Saccharomyces cerevisiae S288C: one gene and its partners. Changing the gene in region 1 together with any one later gene gives a genetic interaction. Each region holds a gene or a part of one and is shown in the gene's direction. Other genes may lie near its edges.

Region 1 (3,736 bases):
CGCTTATTTAGTTATTGAGGACAAACTCCAAGTTCAGCGCCTGCTTTCAATCTGTGAGCCCTTAATAATATCAAGAAGCGGACCGCCCGCAAATGTTGCATCCTCGGATACAAATGTAGACGAAGTGTTTTTTAATCGACATGATGAAGAAGAATCCTGGATACTGGACCCAATACAGGAAAAGTTGGCACATTTGATTCATTGGATAATGAACACTACTTCTCGGAAACAAACAATGAAAAACAAAATTCAATTTAGCTTAGAAGCCCAATTGGAAATATTACTTCTTATTAAATCTTCGTTCATTAAAGGTGGCATCAATGTTAAATACACTTTTCCAGCAATAATCACAAATTTTTGGAAACTGATGAGGAAATGCCGTATGATACAAGAGTACCTTTTGAAAAAAAGACCCGATAACAAGACGTTACTTTCCCATTATTCCAATCTTTTAAAGCAAATGTTTAAATTTGTTTCTCGTTGTATCAATGATATCTTTAATTCTTGCAACAACTCATGCACAGATCTGATTCTGAAACTGAATTTACAATGTGCCATTCTAGCTGATCAATTGCAATTAAACGAAATTTCATATGATTTTTTCTCACAGGCCTTCACAATATTTGAAGAGTCTCTAAGTGATTCAAAGACTCAGTTACAGGCTTTAATATATATTGCTCAGTCTTTACAAAAGACAAGATCACTCTACAAAGAAGCTTATTATGATTCTTTGATTGTCAGATGCACACTCCATGGATCCAAATTATTAAAGAAACAAGACCAATGTCGTGCTGTTTATTTATGCTCCCACCTCTGGTGGGCAACGGAAATTTCAAATATTGGTGAGGAAGAAGGTATCACAGACAACTTCTACAGAGATGGTAAACGGGTGTTAGAATGTCTACAAAGGTCTCTCCGTGTGGCGGATTCTATAATGGATAACGAACAGAGTTGTGAGCTAATGGTCGAAATATTAAATAGATGCCTCTACTATTTTATTCACGGGGATGAGTCCGAAACTCATATATCGATAAAATACATCAATGGTCTGATCGAACTAATCAAAACAAACTTAAAATCGCTAAAACTAGAAGATAACAGTGCCTCTATGATTACCAACTCAATCAGTGATTTGCACATCACCGGAGAAAATAATGTGAAGGCAAGCAGTAATGCTGACGATGGCTCTGTAATCACAGATAAGGAATCAAATGTTGCCATAGGATCGGATGGTACGTATATTCAATTAAATACTCTGAACGGATCTTCCACGCTAATACGCGGAGTCGTAGCAACTGCTTCAGGTAGTAAATTACTGCACCAACTGAAGTATATCCCAATCCACCATTTTCGACGCACTTGTGAGTACATTGAAAGTCAAAGAGAAGTTGACGATCGTTTCAAAGTCATATATGTATAGTTAAATAACGTACTTGCTCTTCGTACATGCCCAAGATAAAAAAAAACTACACAAATAAAGCTAATAAAAATTTACCTAAAGAAGGATCATAGATTAAGTGGAAGGAAACTTGTACATAATTCGAGTTTATTTTCAACTAAGATATCAAGGATTGTTTACTATAAAAACACTTAATTGGGTAATTTCTATTTTTTACTTTTTTTCTGTGTTAAAAAAATGGGTCGCGCCAATGCGCTCACAAATCTATTCTTATCCCTAACTTACATCTACATGTAAAGCGCCACTAAGAGAGCTATAGCTTATCATACATTTACATCAGGTAAAGTATCATTTTGGCCAGTGGATACGAATTTAATATATAATCTTTGCTTTCCCTTCGCTCTTAAATTCACCAAGCAAGTTTGTTAAGAAATAAAGGAAAGGGGGCTCAAAAACCGAATCAAGTAAGACAAGAAACATGGGGTACAGTACTATTTCCAACGATAATGATATCAAAGTATGTGTGATAATGGTTGGCCTACCAGCTAGAGGAAAGTCTTTTATTTCCCAAAAAATTATCAGGTACTTATCGTGGTTATCCATAAAAGCCAAGTGTTTTAATGTGGGAAATTACAGAAGAGACGTGAGTGGAAATGTCCCAATGGATGCTGAGTTTTTTAACTTCGAAAATACAGATAATTTTAAACTCAGAGAATTGGCTGCCCAAAATGCCATAAAAGATATTGTTAATTTTTTTACTAAAGAAGACGGATCTGTGGCAGTTTTCGATGCTACTAATAGTACACGTAAAAGAAGGAAATGGCTTAAAGATATATGTGAAAAGAATAATATTCAACCGATGTTTTTAGAGAGCTGGAGTAACGATCATGAACTGATTATAAATAACGCTAAGGATATCGGTAGCACATCTCCTGATTATGAAAACTCTGAACCTCATGTGGCGGAAGCTGATTTTTTGGAAAGAATTAGACAATATGAAAGATTTTATGAACCTTTGGACCCCCAAAAAGATAAGGATATGACGTTCATTAAGTTGGTCAATATTATTGAAGAAGTAGTAATTAATAAGATCAGAACATATTTGGAAAGTAGGATTGTATTTTATGTTATGAATATTCGTCCTAAACCAAAATATATCTGGCTCTCCCGTCACGGCGAATCGATCTATAACGTAGAGAAAAAAATTGGCGGGGATTCATCACTGTCTGAAAGAGGCTTTCAGTACGCTAAAAAATTGGAGCAGTTAGTGAAAGAGAGCGCAGGAGAAATAAATTTGACCGTGTGGACTTCCACCTTAAAAAGAACACAACAAACGGCAAATTATCTTCCCTATAAGAAACTGCAATGGAAAGCACTTGATGAATTAGACGCTGGCGTTTGTGACGGAATGACGTATGAGGAAATTGAAAAAGAATATCCTGAAGATTTTAAAGCACGTGATAATGACAAATACGAGTACAGATATCGTGGTGGAGAATCATACAGAGATGTAGTGATTCGTTTAGAGCCCGTCATTATGGAATTGGAGCGCCAAGAAAATGTTCTCATTATAACTCATCAAGCCGTACTTCGGTGTATATATGCATATTTTATGAACGTTCCACAGGAGGAATCCCCTTGGATGTCAATCCCACTACACACATTGATCAAGCTGGAGCCTAGGGCCTATGGCACAAAGGTCACCAAAATTAAAGCAAACATCCCTGCAGTGAGTACATATAAAGAGAAGGGTACAAGCCAAGTAGGTGAGCTTTCTCAAAGCTCAACTAAACTTCATCAACTGCTCAATGACTCTCCTTTGGAAGACAAATTTTAAATTTTACTTTTTATTTTTGTGTATCTTAAGTCCAAGCTTACTTGTGGCTGATACGCACAATCTTTTATGTACGAAAAGATCAGGAAACGTAGCATTGATGGTTTTTTATGTACGTCTGCAGCATTGTATGTAATTATTACCCAAACTAATTTTAAGTGAAATTGTAGAACGCCGCGGCGGAAGTATTTTTGAGTAAAAAAAAAAAAGTAAGATTCGAAAATGAAATTATACAGTACAGAAAACGTAAATATACAATAAAGGTTGAATAAACATACTAGATATCCTCCTTTCTTTTTGCATGTACATAGTACTGGTGTAAACTCGATATACCGATGGTCAGATTTTTTGGTTTAAACAAGAAAAAGAACGAAGAAAAGGAAAATACAGACTTGCCTGCAGACAATGAACAAAACGCAGCAGAAACGTCGTCTAGCAACGTATCTGGAAATGAAGAAAGAATAGACCCAAACAGTCATGATACGAACCCTGAAAATGCAAAC
Region 2 (4,405 bases), 480 kb from region 1:
GAGATTTTTCTATAACAAAGGCCATAATGCGGCAGTTTTATCGTCTACATCGTCCTTTTTTGGTAGATGTCTTTGATAATTGGGGAAATGTAATAATGACGATTAAAAGGCCCTTTTCGTTCATCAATTCTCATATAAAGACTATCATACCTCCTTCCGCGTATGTTGATAATGGCAGTGACTCCACTCACTATCACGACGGTAAAGAAGGAACGACAGTAGGAGAGACCATTCAGAACTGGCATCTCTGGAGGCGTCGTTACGAATTATTCCAGAAAGATGGAGTAGAAGGATCCACTTTTGACCAATTTGGTAAGATAGATGCACCTTTCTTATCATTTGATTTTCCTGTAACAGATGCTGATGGTAAGATAATGGCGAGTGTAGACAGAAATTGGGTTGGTTTAGGAAGAGAAATGTTTACCGATACTGGTGTTTATGTTGTTAGATTTGATTCGCAGAGATGCTTTGATAATATTTATCCTACTGAGATGCTAAGTTCTCAAGTACTAACTTTGGATCAAAGGGCCGTGTTATTAGCAAACGCTGTGTCCATCGATTTCGATTATTTTTCGAGACATTCCAGACAAACTGGAGGTTTCCTTTCTTTTGGCGGTGGCTATGATGAGTAGGTGAATTATATATTTAAAAGAATTCTGTAAATACATATTTGACTACGCAGTAATAAAACAATTATTATTCCCAATTAGGGCCCAATCCTAGCATAGCAAAGTTTAATACATCTTCTTCATTTGCATTTTCCATATATGAGGCGACTCTCACTCTAACTAATTCCTGTTCAATCAAATCGGTGGCAGTTGGGTCACTCTTTCCCAAATAGAGGGGTCCGCTCAAATTCCTTCCATCCAGTTCAAATATCCCTCCGTTCTCTTCCACATATGTGATATAGTGTAGATTAGTATCTGCAGTTGCTTCTGGTGCTTCTGACTGGCCAGTAGAAAATGTTTGTACATTCTCTTTTATTACATTCAAGACGAATTGGTCGGTAGTAACATCATCAAACCTATTCTTCGAGCTTGAAGTATCACTTTGAGATTTTAAAAAATTGTCCAAGTCGGAGCCGGGCTCCAACAATGACTGGTTATTGCTCAAAGAATGAAGAATTGCATACAATCCGCACGCATTTTTGACTGATTGCTTAAACCATATAACATCATAAGAACTTGTAATTTGTTGACTGGTACTCGATTTTCTATCCTCGTTTATCGGAAATAGCAGCACAATGGCCTTCACTGGCCTTGGTAAGAATGCTAGTAACTCTGGCTCTGTTAAGCTATAGATATCGAAATACGCCCATTCATTTTTTAAACCTAATTTATGTGCAAAATTTGTAAAAACTTCAGGGTTTGATTCAATCGGCACCACAGCACGATTTTCTCCGCTCATACTTTTGCTATTGTATTTTTATAACGATTGTTACTTACTTGTTGATCAAAATACCCTTAATATCTCTTAAGTATGGACTTCCACCTTTATAGTCGACTAAATAAAAATACTTCTACTGAGGAAGTTTAAAACACGGAAAAATTGTTCCAGATCATTATCTGCACTGGTTTTTGGGGCGTTGATAGGCATGTTCACACTTCCTAACTCGACCACAGACATCTCCAAGAATACAAGGTACTTCAATCCGGGTAATAAAACGTCAGGAAGTTTTGAGAAGTTAATAGCTCATCACTGCATTCTCAAAAAATGCTTACAACTCTATGACGCCCTTAAAAAGAAAGGACTGGGTAAGAATAGCCTGCCTATTTTGGTGATACGTAAAAGAATCAACTTGTAGAGGTTAACTGGGGAGTATTACAATGATGGCAACTCCGGCTACTGATCTTATTTCCGATAATGATAAATATAACAAGCAATGTCTTTCTGATTCAAGTGATAGTGGTAGTGATGTAAGCTTTTTTTCCGTAAATGAAAGCGAAGGTGAATTGGATACAATGGAGAAAGTGGATACCTTGATTGGAGGTGCAAGAGTTATAAGCAATAAAGTAGAAAAAGACAGCGATAGTGAACAAAGGGGAAGAAAGAAGGAAACAACTGGGCCCAATAACTATCATAATTTAGAAGAGAAGCAAGCGAGTGCCATTTCTCTTGACGCTGATGATGAAGATCTCGATGAAATTATTTCTTATTCGCATGACGGGAACTATGACAGCTCTCATAAAACTTTCTCCTTTTCCTTACCATTTGGTAATACAAATTTCCGATCAAGTTCACCATTAGCCATAATTAAAACTGTGCTTCCCAAGACTCCAGATGAGTTCATCAAAAAGAATCTAAGAAAGAATGAGATCAAGCAAAAACTGAAAAAATCAACCTCCATTTCTTCCTTGGAAGAGATAGAATTATTTAAATACGAAAGGGGCATTGATAATTCAAGGTTAAGGGCTGTTAAAGAATCTTTGGAAATGGATGCCTTGAAGAACTCCATTAAGCAAATAACAGCAGACCCATTCGACAAAACTCATGACGGATATTACCGTTCGCGTTTAGAATCTATATGGAATGAATTGGAAGGAGATGTCGTTATAATGGGTGGATATCGAGGTAGTGTGCTAAGGGATGCTACTACTCATAAGCGAATTTGGATCCCATTAAAGGCAGGTTTGAATATGACGAAAGTCGATTTATTGATCGGACCTAATGACGAAGATGAACTTAAAACTCAGAAGGAGATTGTCCCTGATGGAATGCTAACACATATAGGGCCTGTTGATATCTCTAAGAGGTTGATAAAGAGGCTAGACGCAAATCCTAATTTAAATGTTCAGCAGTTTGGCTATGATTGGAGATTATCCTTGGACATATCTGCCAAGCATTTAACGACTAAACTAGAGGAAATTTACAATAAGCAAAAAAATAAGAAGGGAATATACATCATTGCCCATTCAATGGGCGGATTGGTCGCACATAAAGTGTTGCAAGACTGTACTCATTTGATAAGAGGTATTATTTACGTGGGTTCCCCAAGCCAATGTCCAAATATTTTAGGTCCTATTAGGTTTGGAGATGATGTGATGTGGAATAAAACTATTTTCACTAAAGAAACCAACTTTTTTATGAGAAGTAGTTTCTATTTTCTACCGTTAGATGGTAGATGTTTTGTTGACAAAATTACCTTAGAGAGGTATGATTTCGATTTTTTTGATACAGATGTTTGGAAAACCCTTGGCTTGTCACCTCTCGTCAATGAGAAAAGAGAGGAATCAGCTCACGAAAAATCAAAATTATTACCAAGGAAAACGAAATCAGCGCTTTCGCTTAAAGCTACCCTAAACGCAACTACCAAGTTTGTCCTAAATGCACCTGTTGTTAGGAATGTAGCCGGCAATAATAAACAGGTACCAAGGGATGTGCCTTTCGATGAAGTCTTCCATACATCTTATGAAGATAGCTGTGAATATTTAGCGAGAACTTTAAAACGTACAAAGAATTATTTGGATAGCTTAGATTACGACCCGAACAAAGAATATCCTCCATTGGCCATGGTTTACGGTAACAAGGTTCCCACTGTTAGAGGTGCTAAAGTGAACGGTATACAAGATATAAAAGATGGGAATTATGAAGATTTTTACTATGGTCCGGGCGACGGTGTTGTTCACCATAAATGGTTATTGCCTGAACAGAGAGGCTTTCCAGTTGTTTGTAAAATCGCCAGTTCTTCAGGTCATGTTAGCTTAATGACGGATTTGAAATCAATGGCAAAAGCATTCATATCTATCGTCGACAGCGAAAAAGAAGGAAGAAGATCTCGAACACGAACTTCTTCATGAAAGGCTTTTTATTCCTTTGTTTACTATTCATATCTGCATTTTTCTTTTTACCAAAATTCCGCATGTCAAAAAAAATCTGGCAACGCACCGCGAATAAAAATAAATAATATTTTTTTATCTTTAGTTGCCTAAATACTATTTATTTCGTCAATTTTACAACCTCTTTTATATACACCATTCGATTTCCCACGAAGTAAAATAATAATTCTATAAACAGATTTATCTGATATGCTCAATTTCCCCTCCCATTTTCATTATTGTCCTTCTTGCTCTTCCTCGATGTCAAAATTAACCTTCAGCCATAAGCTGCATGCGCTACATTGGGTTAATAATTGATAACCAGAATGACTCCGTTCCATAGCGTCTACATTATCAATGCATTCATCTAACAAACTCTCACTAAAATGAAAACCACCAACAAATTGACAGCGAGGACAATTCATCATAAACTCCAGCTTATCTTCATCAAATGAGAAATCGTCTAAGGAAAATTCATCCAGCCCATCACCACAATTATGAAATCCTTGGCGTTTATAGTTTTCAAGGATCAACCTATCATATTCGCGACGAGTTTTTATATTCGATAGTATTTTATAAGCATCTTGAAT
Region 3 (5,415 bases), on another chromosome or scaffold:
TAACTGGCAATGGCCAGTCACCGTGCCAAGCGTGCAAGTCAGTGTGACAGACACCAGAGTATTTAACGTTGATCAACAATTCGTTGGCCTTTGGCTTTGGAACTGGAATATCTTTGTATTCCAACTTACCGTGGGATTCGTAGAAGATAACACCTTTTTGAGTTTCTGGGATAGACATTGTATATGAGATAGTTGATTGTATGCTTGGTATAGCTTGAAATATTGTGCAGAAAAAGAAACAAGGAAGAAAGGGAACGAGAACAATGACGAGGAAACAAAAGATTAATAATTGCAGGTCTATTTATACTTGATAGCAAGACAGCAAACTTTTTTTTATTTCAAATTCAAGTAACTGGAAGGAAGGCCGTATACCGTTGCTCATTAGAGAGTAGTGTGCGTGAATGAAGGAAGGAAAAAGTTTCGTGTGCTTCGAGATACCCCTCATCAGCTCTGGAACAACGACATCTGTTGGTGCTGTCTTTGTCGTTAATTTTTTCCTTTAGTGTCTTCCATCATTTTTTTGTCATTGCGGATATGGTGAGACAACAACGGGGGAGAGAGAAAAGAAAAAAAAAGAAAAGAAGTTGCATGCGCCTATTATTACTTCAATAGATGGCAAATGGAAAAAGGGTAGTGAAACTTCGATATGATGATGGCTATCAAGTCTAGGGCTACAGTATTAGTTCGTTATGTACCACCATCAATGAGGCAGTGTAATTGGTGTAGTCTTGTTTAGCCCATTATGTCTTGTCTGGTATCTGTTCTATTGTATATCTCCCCTCCGCCACCTACATGTTAGGGAGACCAACGAAGGTATTATAGGAATCCCGATGTATGGGTTTGGTTGCCAGAAAAGAGGAAGTCCATATTGTACACCCGGAAACAACAAAAGGATATCCGAAATATTCCACGGTTTAGAAAAAAATCGGAAAAGAGCGCGGAGGGGTGTTACCCCCCTTCTCTACTAGCATTGGACTTTAATTAATATATGTGCATAGGAGAAGTGTAAAGTTCCCTTCCATATTGTAACATAATAAAGTGCACACCCAAATGAATTGAAAGCGTACTCAAACAGACAACCATTTCCAGTGTTGTATGTACCTGTCTATTTATACTGGTAGCAACCCTATTGCTGTTTCCTCTTCAAAGTACTCTAGCGGTTATGCGCGTCTCACCTTCAAGGTCATGGTCGCTCTATTGTTCGCACCACCGGCAAACTCGCGTCTCGCAAGTCTTGGCTCATTCTTCTAGTATACTCATGTTGCAAATGCACTCAGGTTCTTTCGGCAACTTAAATAATGACACCAGTTGTCGTGGTCGTCATCATCGCAACCCCAACCGGCATTCTTATTGCTTCTCCAATCTCGCCCCTTAGCGCAGGGTAAACCTTGGAAAATGCAGGCGCAAAAAACTCCGCCGGGCACAGCCTCACGCCCAGCGTTATCGCCGGGCCGGCAAGAGCGCGGGTCCGCCACAGAGTCAGCATGATTGTGCAATTGCGTAAACTCGTTTTTTCGGCGCCGCAAAGCCAAATACATCATATCAACACTTTTCACTTTATTTTTCGTTCGACCCTTATATTTGTCTTTTGCCTTCATGCTCCTTGATTTCCTATTTCATTTACCATCATTTCTTCGATCCCCCTCATCGTGATGTAGTCAACCCTCTTCTTGTTTTAATACGTTAATCTCCCTGAAATACTTTAAATACGTATGTGCGCAAGTGCTTAGAAACATGTATACATCGAGTATATATATATGTATGTATTCGCTTGATGTGGGTTCTTGGTTATCTATCCTTTATTGTATTTACTATGTCTACTACGTCTACGATATTTAGCAAATAGTACTCCTTTTTGTTATACTATTATATTAAGTTATATTTGAGCACATCATATTCAAAGCAGCGAAAGGTTAGATATTTATAGCACATACGTACTATGGCTGACAGTTCTTCGACTTCGGCGTTCATTTCAACCCTGATTATCTACGGTCTTACCGCCGTCGTGTTTGTCTGGCTCTTTTTGCTATTGCGGCCCAAGAATAGAAGAGTATACGAGCCACGGTCTCTTAAGGACATTCAGACTATTCCGGAGGAAGAGAGAACGGAACCAGTTCCTGAAGGCTACTTCGGGTGGGTTGAATATCTACTCTCGAAACCGCACTCGTTTCTCATCCAGCACACAAGCGTGGACGGCTATTTTCTGTTAAGATATATCGGTATCGTGGGTTCACTTTCGTTTGTGGGCTGTTTGCTTCTTTTACCGATATTGCTTCCCGTGAACGCTACCAACGGTAACAACCTTCAAGGCTTTGAACTGCTATCATTTTCAAATGTTACCAACAAGAACAGGTTTTACGCGCACGTTTTCCTCTCGTGGATCTTTTTTGGCCTGTTCACCTATGTCATCTACAAGGAGCTGTATTACTACGTCGTGTTTAGACATGCTATGCAGACAACACCACTCTATGACGGACTGCTGTCTTCTAGGACGGTTATCGTCACAGAATTGCACAAGAGCATCGCTCAAGAGGGGGAGATGCAAATGCGTTTCCCCAAGGCTTCCAATGTGGCCTTCGCGTATGATCTCTCAGACTTGCAAGAATTGTGTAAAGAAAGAGCTAAGAACGCTGCGAAGTACGAAGCTGCGTTGAATAAGGTTCTAAACAAGTGCGTGAAAATGACCCGAAACAAGACCCAAAAGCAACTTGACAAGTTGTACAATAACGGTACCAAGCCAAAGGACGATTTAGAGACATACGTGCCACATAAAAAGCGCCCTAAACATCGTTTGGGAAAATTGCCGCTTTGTCTAGGCGGCAAAAAAGTTAATACGTTGTCTTATTCTAGTAAAAGGATTGGGGAATTGAACGAAGAGATTCATGAAAAACAAGCCGATTGGGCCAGTAATGATAGGCAACCTGCCTGCTTTATCCAGTTCGAGACTCAATTGGAAGCGCAAAGATGCTACCAATCTGTGGAAGCAATCTTGGGTAAGAAAAATTTTGGTAAGCGTCTTATTGGCTACTCGCCAGAAGACGTTAACTGGGGCAGCATGCGTCTCAGTTCAAAGGAGAGACACTCCAGGAGAGCTGTGGCAAATACAATCATGGTGTTATTGATTATCTTTTGGGCTTTCCCCGTTGCTGTGGTTGGTATCATCTCCAACGTCAATTTCCTTACCGATAAAGTTCCCTTCTTACGTTTCATCAACAACATGCCCACCTTCCTGATGGGTGTCATTACTGGTTTGTTGCCTACTATTGCGTTGGTCGTTTTGATGTCTCTAGTGCCACCTTTTATCGTAATGTTGGGGAAACTTAGTGGTTGCGTCACTAGGCAAGAAACGGATCTATACTCCCAAGCATGGTATTACGCTTTCGCTGTGATTCAAATCTTTTTAGTTGTCACCGCTACCTCTTCTGCATCTTCCACCGTTGACTCGATTATTGACAGACCAAGATCCGCCATGACACTATTGGCAAATAACTTGCCAAAGGCATCCAACTTTTATATCATGTACTTCATATTGAAAGGTTTAACTGGCCCCACATGGACGATCTTGCAGGCAGTTAACTTGCTGCTAAGTAAAGTCCTAGGTAGAGTGTTGGATTCTACCCCAAGGCAAAAATGGAACCGCTACAATACTTTGGCCACGCCGCGCATGGGCATTGTTTACCCAGGCATTGAAATTCTGGTTTGCATTTATATCTGTTACTCGATTATCGCCCCTATACTGCTATTTTTCAGTACCGTAATGTTGACGCTACTTTATGTGGCGTATTTGTACAATTTAAACTACGTGTTTGGCTTCTCCTTCGATTTAAAGGGGCGCAATTATCCAAGAGCACTTTTCCAGATTTTTGTTGGAATTTACTTGAGTGAAGTATGTCTGCTTGGACTGTTTATCATGGCAAAAACCTGGGGTCCTTTGGTCCTGGAAGTGTTTTGGATCGTGGTCACTGCCCTAGCTCATATATATATGAAGAGGAAATTCATACCGCTATTCGACGCAGTTCCTTTAAGCGCCATCAGACATGCAAGAGGTGAGCCCGGCTATTCCTATCCTACATCGGACTTGGGTCTCCAGGAAATCAAGGACATTGCAGATGAAATGAAGGGCAAATACGAACAAGACAATACACACGGGATTTTGACGCCCGTGACCAAGGATGATTTGAAAAAGGCCAATCTGATACCAGATAACGATGGCAGCTCAGAGAACGGTACTCCTAGTAACCCCTTTGAGTCTGGTTCTGAACGTGCCTCTCTCTCTGGATCGAACGCAGAGAGTGACTCGATCAAGAAATTAAATGATACTGTTATCAAAAAATCAAGCACTCTCTCCTCCTCTACCAAGGACAACAACGAATCTACTTTTGTTCCAGAGGGTGAAAAGTTTCGCAAGTTTCACTACAGCGATGTTGAGGCATTGAGAAATAAGCGCCCTTATGATGAGGATGATCATAGTAAACATGGACCTGAAGGTGCCGTGCCAGTAAACGCTGACGCGGGAGTTATTTACAGTGATCCGGCAGCTGTCATGAAAGAGCCTCAGGCATTTCCTCCGGATGTTTTGGAAACCAATACTTGGACAAGAAGAATTCTACAATTCTTCAACCCAAGAAGGTCGTATCCTTTCGACAGTGTCAGGATGAGATTCCCACTTGTTTTCAACACCAGCATCGAATACGATGAAGAATATTTGAGCTCTGCTTATACCGATCCATGTGTCAGAGAGAAAGATCCCATTGTGTGGTGCTGTAAGGATCCGTTAGGAGTTTCAAAACAGCAAATTCAAGAGGCTAGGTCTAATGGCTTAGATGTAAGAGATGATTTCACAAGGTACGATGAAAAAGGAAAAGTCATATTCACTTACAACCCTCCTGATTATGAACCTGAGGCTAAAAAATGATGAATTAGCTTCATTCTTCACTTCTATCTTTTTCTTTGATTTTTTTTTCCCTAATGCATACATGATTTTTACGTCTTTATATAATACTGTTCTATTCATATTCTAGCCTAGTTTAATTATAATAATATCTATAATGTTTTTTTATATATCCGCATATCTGTGAGCTTGGGTATACAGAAAAAAATGGCACACGCACCCCTAAAGTAGGTGGGGAGGAAAAAGGAAGTAAGAGAAGGGAAAATCATATGAGAGCATCCAAATAGATCACTCTAAAAAATATAAACAGGCATGAAACTCAGTCAGTCAAATCAGAGTTAATATTGTAATTATCTGAAACTAGTTCCTATAGGTTGAGTGTCTATCAAAAATTTACGGAGACGCGATGAAAATTGCGGTAGAAACGACACTATTCGACTTCTTTGTCATCGATCAGTTTAAAAAATCTACTTTTTCAGCGCCAAACACCAAAGTTGACACTATTAAGGGTTGTATTAACAAGT
Region 4 (4,028 bases), on another chromosome or scaffold:
TTCGTTTTGGCAACTAATAATAAACTACATTAAGTAAAATGCAAAACTTCAAAGTGCGGAAAAATGTATTGGTATATAAATACTATAGACAGAATACAGAGAATCCGTATCATTTCAAAGGTTCATTACTTAGTATCTCCGCAGGGAGGATTCTGTTGTTCGCACTTCTCTGCTGAAAGCTATCCTCCTCCTCATCTTCCTCATCTTCATCTGAAATGGCGATGCTAAAAGAATCTACCATTCGAAATATATCAGATCTATCCATTGCCTTTCCATCAAAACTCAATTCAAAGCTTTCGTTGGCATTTGTGGAAACACTGGCCCCGGCTCTCTGCTTCGCATTGGAATTAGGGAGATTCTTTACGGGCTTGCTGTTACCTTGCAGCTGCTTTTGTTGCCGTAACGTTGATGTCAGCTGCACTCCGCATAATTCGTCTAGTGATTTTGAGATCCGTGTCTTACTATTTGTGGACAATTGAATAGGTTGCAAGAAGTGATAGTTTTTCTCAAACTTCAACGAAATTAGCAGGATTATGATTTTTTTGGATATATCGTCTATCGTTTCGTGCACTGGAGATGGTAATTTATATGTGGTAACGACGGACCTAGGTAAGATGCACTTCTTGATGTTGAAATTTGTTTTTGATTTCGTGGGAGAATTCGTCAACTTAGGTGCCACACTAGTGCTACTTCTTGTACCATACAAATCAATTGGCTTGGTAAAATACCGTTTCTTTGTACACGTTCTGGAAGGAAAAATAATTTCATTTATGCTGCTCACTTCCTTCGTTTGATTGAATTTAAGAGATTTAGAATTTAAATGCGACACCGACTGATGATGCGGATGGGAATTTACATTGGTGTTTGCAGCGCCCATGGTATTTGTATATCTAGATGGCCTGTTATTATTACTGCTACCGCCCCCGGTATAATGGTCTTCATTAACTCCTTTATTAACCTGCGAAATACTGTTAAACCTTGGTCTCAGGTTTTTTGTGGGTGACTCTGGATAATAGAAAAACTGCTGGTTGGAATCGAAAGTCGCTTTTTGTTGGAAGCTCAGGACTGGCTGCTGATTCAAATTAAACTGCGTAGGAGGCAGGACCAGCCCACCGCTGTTATTGATGTAAGATGATTTGTTATTGAGCGTCCTTCTTGGCGACACTGATGGACTTGGGCTCATTGCTACCTACTTTTTTTCTTACTGACCTAAGGCTGCAGGTGCAAGAAAAGAGTAAAAGAATGTTAAAATACGTTTTGAAAGGTCTCTGTTTTCATGTACAATTGAGGGATAAAAAAATCTTTTCTTTCTTTCAATGCGGATGATTGACACTTTCTTATTTTGTGTTTTTATTTATGTTCTTTCCTAATCTGGAAAGCATATTAAAGACCGGCGCTACCCGGTTAAGTAATCATACACGTGAAAAGCACGTGAACAACAAAGCACTTTAAAACTCATATACTACGCATTTAAAGAATGCTAAAACGGCAATTGCCACTGGGCACCATTTAAAAGGTCAATAATGAATCTGTGACCTTTCTTTGCTATAGCATCACTACAACTATGTGTTGCTTGTCGCTAGCAACGAACCTATTATTCCTTCGCTTTATTGTCGAAGACCACAAAATACTCCAAAGCAATAGAATGTCTCTTTCCGCAAATAACTTACTCAGGGAAACAATACGAATATGTGCAGATTGCCGATCATTGCTGAAATGCCTCAAAAATATGCATTTTCTCATGACCTATTCATTCGGACCAATCATATGAAGGCATTGAACGTCCGGGTAACCACAATAAGAGTGCTCCCCCTTAGCGCTCTTGGTTATTGCCGGTATTTGCAACGTCGACAGGGTATATATAAGATGTATAGGGCATAGTGGGGAAGGAGTTTTAACTACCAATTGAGGAGTTTCAGGTAGGGTGTCAGTTTCATCACATCATCGAATTACACGTTTACCCAAGAGAAGAAACTAAAAACCACTATGCTATCGAAGAATTTGTATAGTAACAAGAGGTTGCTCACCTCGACGAATACGCTAGTCAGATTCGCTTCCACCAGATCCACAGGGGTGGAAAACTCCGGAGCAGGTCCTACATCTTTTAAGACCATGAAAGTCATTGACCCTCAGCACAGCGACAAACCAAACGTGCTGATACTGGGTTCGGGGTGGGGAGCTATTTCGTTTTTAAAGCACATTGACACCAAGAAGTACAACGTTTCCATCATCTCTCCTAGAAGCTATTTCTTATTTACGCCTTTGTTACCTTCTGCACCAGTTGGGACAGTAGACGAAAAGTCAATTATTGAGCCCATCGTTAATTTTGCTCTCAAGAAAAAGGGGAACGTTACCTACTATGAGGCAGAAGCCACCTCTATCAATCCCGACAGGAATACCGTTACCATAAAATCATTATCTGCCGTTAGCCAGCTATACCAACCTGAAAACCATCTAGGGCTGCATCAAGCAGAACCTGCTGAAATTAAGTACGATTATTTAATCAGTGCTGTAGGTGCGGAACCTAACACATTTGGTATTCCTGGGGTCACTGATTACGGTCATTTCCTGAAGGAAATTCCCAACTCTTTGGAAATAAGAAGAACTTTTGCCGCCAATCTAGAGAAGGCTAACTTATTGCCAAAGGGTGATCCCGAAAGAAGAAGACTACTGTCCATTGTCGTGGTTGGTGGTGGGCCTACTGGTGTAGAGGCCGCTGGTGAACTACAGGATTATGTTCACCAGGACCTGAGAAAGTTTCTCCCTGCATTGGCCGAAGAAGTCCAAATTCACTTGGTCGAAGCTCTGCCCATCGTTTTGAATATGTTTGAGAAAAAGCTTTCATCATACGCGCAATCACATTTAGAAAACACTTCGATCAAAGTACATCTGAGAACGGCTGTCGCCAAAGTTGAAGAAAAGCAATTGTTGGCAAAGACCAAACACGAAGACGGTAAAATAACCGAAGAAACTATTCCATACGGTACTTTGATTTGGGCCACGGGTAACAAGGCAAGACCGGTAATCACTGACCTTTTCAAGAAAATTCCTGAGCAAAACTCGTCCAAGAGAGGATTGGCAGTGAATGACTTTTTGCAGGTGAAAGGCAGCAACAACATTTTCGCCATTGGTGACAATGCATTTGCTGGGTTGCCACCAACCGCCCAAGTAGCGCACCAAGAGGCCGAATATTTGGCCAAGAATTTTGATAAAATGGCTCAAATACCAAATTTCCAAAAGAATCTATCTTCAAGAAAGGATAAAATTGATCTCTTGTTCGAGGAGAACAACTTTAAACCTTTCAAATACAACGATTTAGGTGCCTTAGCATACCTGGGATCCGAAAGGGCCATTGCAACCATACGTTCCGGTAAGAGAACATTTTACACCGGTGGTGGCTTAATGACCTTCTACTTATGGAGAATTTTGTACTTGTCCATGATTCTATCTGCAAGATCGAGATTAAAGGTCTTTTTCGACTGGATTAAATTAGCATTTTTCAAAAGAGACTTTTTTAAAGGATTATAGATGAAATTAACATGCCCTTTTCTGGAAAAAGGAAAAAAGGTGGTAGGCACCGTTTTTTCCTGAGTTTGCATCCTTTTTTTTCTAAAACCCTCTAAACAAAACCTAACACACACACACACGCACAAAAAAATGCACATGATGTTTTATTATTTATATATTCCCACTTTTTTCGAAATGATGCTTGACTAATGCACAAGCAAAAAACCCCGACAAGATTGGTTGATCACTTCAGCTTTTTCCTCCCATTGTCCTATATATATATCTGTGATTATTTATTTCTTCCTCTTATGTTTCTCTATTTATTTTATACGCCAAATCCCATTTGTATATACGTAACGAAAGCTTTATAATTCTTATGCCCCGCAAACACTCAATTGCCGAATGTTTCGTCTACTCACCTCAGTCATTGGAAAAACTCTTTGGCTTTTTTGATGTTTTCCAATACTAATTCTTGTGGAATATTCATATCTTTCAACACTATAAAACACACCATATTGGAC

The links.
Region 2: mutations in FBP26 (region 1) and YJR098C together harm fitness more than expected from each alone (negative genetic interaction), as found in Saccharomyces cerevisiae (one large-scale study listed by BioGRID).
Region 3: mutations in FBP26 (region 1) and PHM7 together harm fitness more than expected from each alone (negative genetic interaction), as found in Saccharomyces cerevisiae (one large-scale study listed by BioGRID).
Region 4: mutations in FBP26 (region 1) and NDI1 together harm fitness more than expected from each alone (negative genetic interaction), as found in Saccharomyces cerevisiae (one large-scale study listed by BioGRID).

What each region holds. Positions count from the first base shown.
Region 1 is NC_001142.9:128,785-132,520, reverse strand, and holds FBP26 (fructose-2,6-bisphosphatase), read left to right. Parts: upstream 1-1,877; coding exon 1,878-3,236; downstream 3,237-3,736. Other genes in the region: retromer subunit VPS35, read left to right, coding at 1-1,420; SSY5 (Ssy5p), read left to right, coding at 3,569-3,736. UniProt on the Saccharomyces cerevisiae protein: Monofunctional, high-specificity fructose-2,6-bisphosphatase, which releases phosphate from the 2-position of fructose 2,6-bisphosphate. Has no detectable 6-phosphofructo-2-kinase activity.
Region 2 is NC_001142.9:612,578-616,982, reverse strand, and holds YJR098C (uncharacterized protein), read left to right. Parts: upstream 1-1,826; coding exon 1,827-3,797; downstream 3,798-4,405. Other genes in the region: AIM25 (Aim25p), read left to right, coding at 1-632; ubiquitin-specific protease YUH1, read right to left, coding at 697-1,407; JJJ3 (Jjj3p), read right to left, coding at 4,052-4,405.
Region 3 is NC_001147.6:160,417-165,831, forward strand, and holds PHM7 (Phm7p), read left to right. Parts: upstream 1-1,939; coding exon 1,940-4,915; downstream 4,916-5,415. Other genes in the region: alcohol dehydrogenase ADH1, read right to left, coding at 1-178; YOL085C (uncharacterized protein), read right to left, coding at 1,257-1,598; ATG34 (Atg34p), read left to right, coding at 5,298-5,415. UniProt on the Saccharomyces cerevisiae protein: Acts as an osmosensitive calcium-permeable cation channel.
Region 4 is NC_001145.3:27,766-31,793, reverse strand, and holds NDI1 (NADH-ubiquinone reductase (H(+)-translocating) NDI1), read left to right. Parts: upstream 1-1,986; coding exon 1,987-3,528; downstream 3,529-4,028. Other genes in the region: YML119W (uncharacterized protein), read right to left, coding at 110-1,183; Rag GTPase GTR1, read right to left, coding at 3,932-4,028.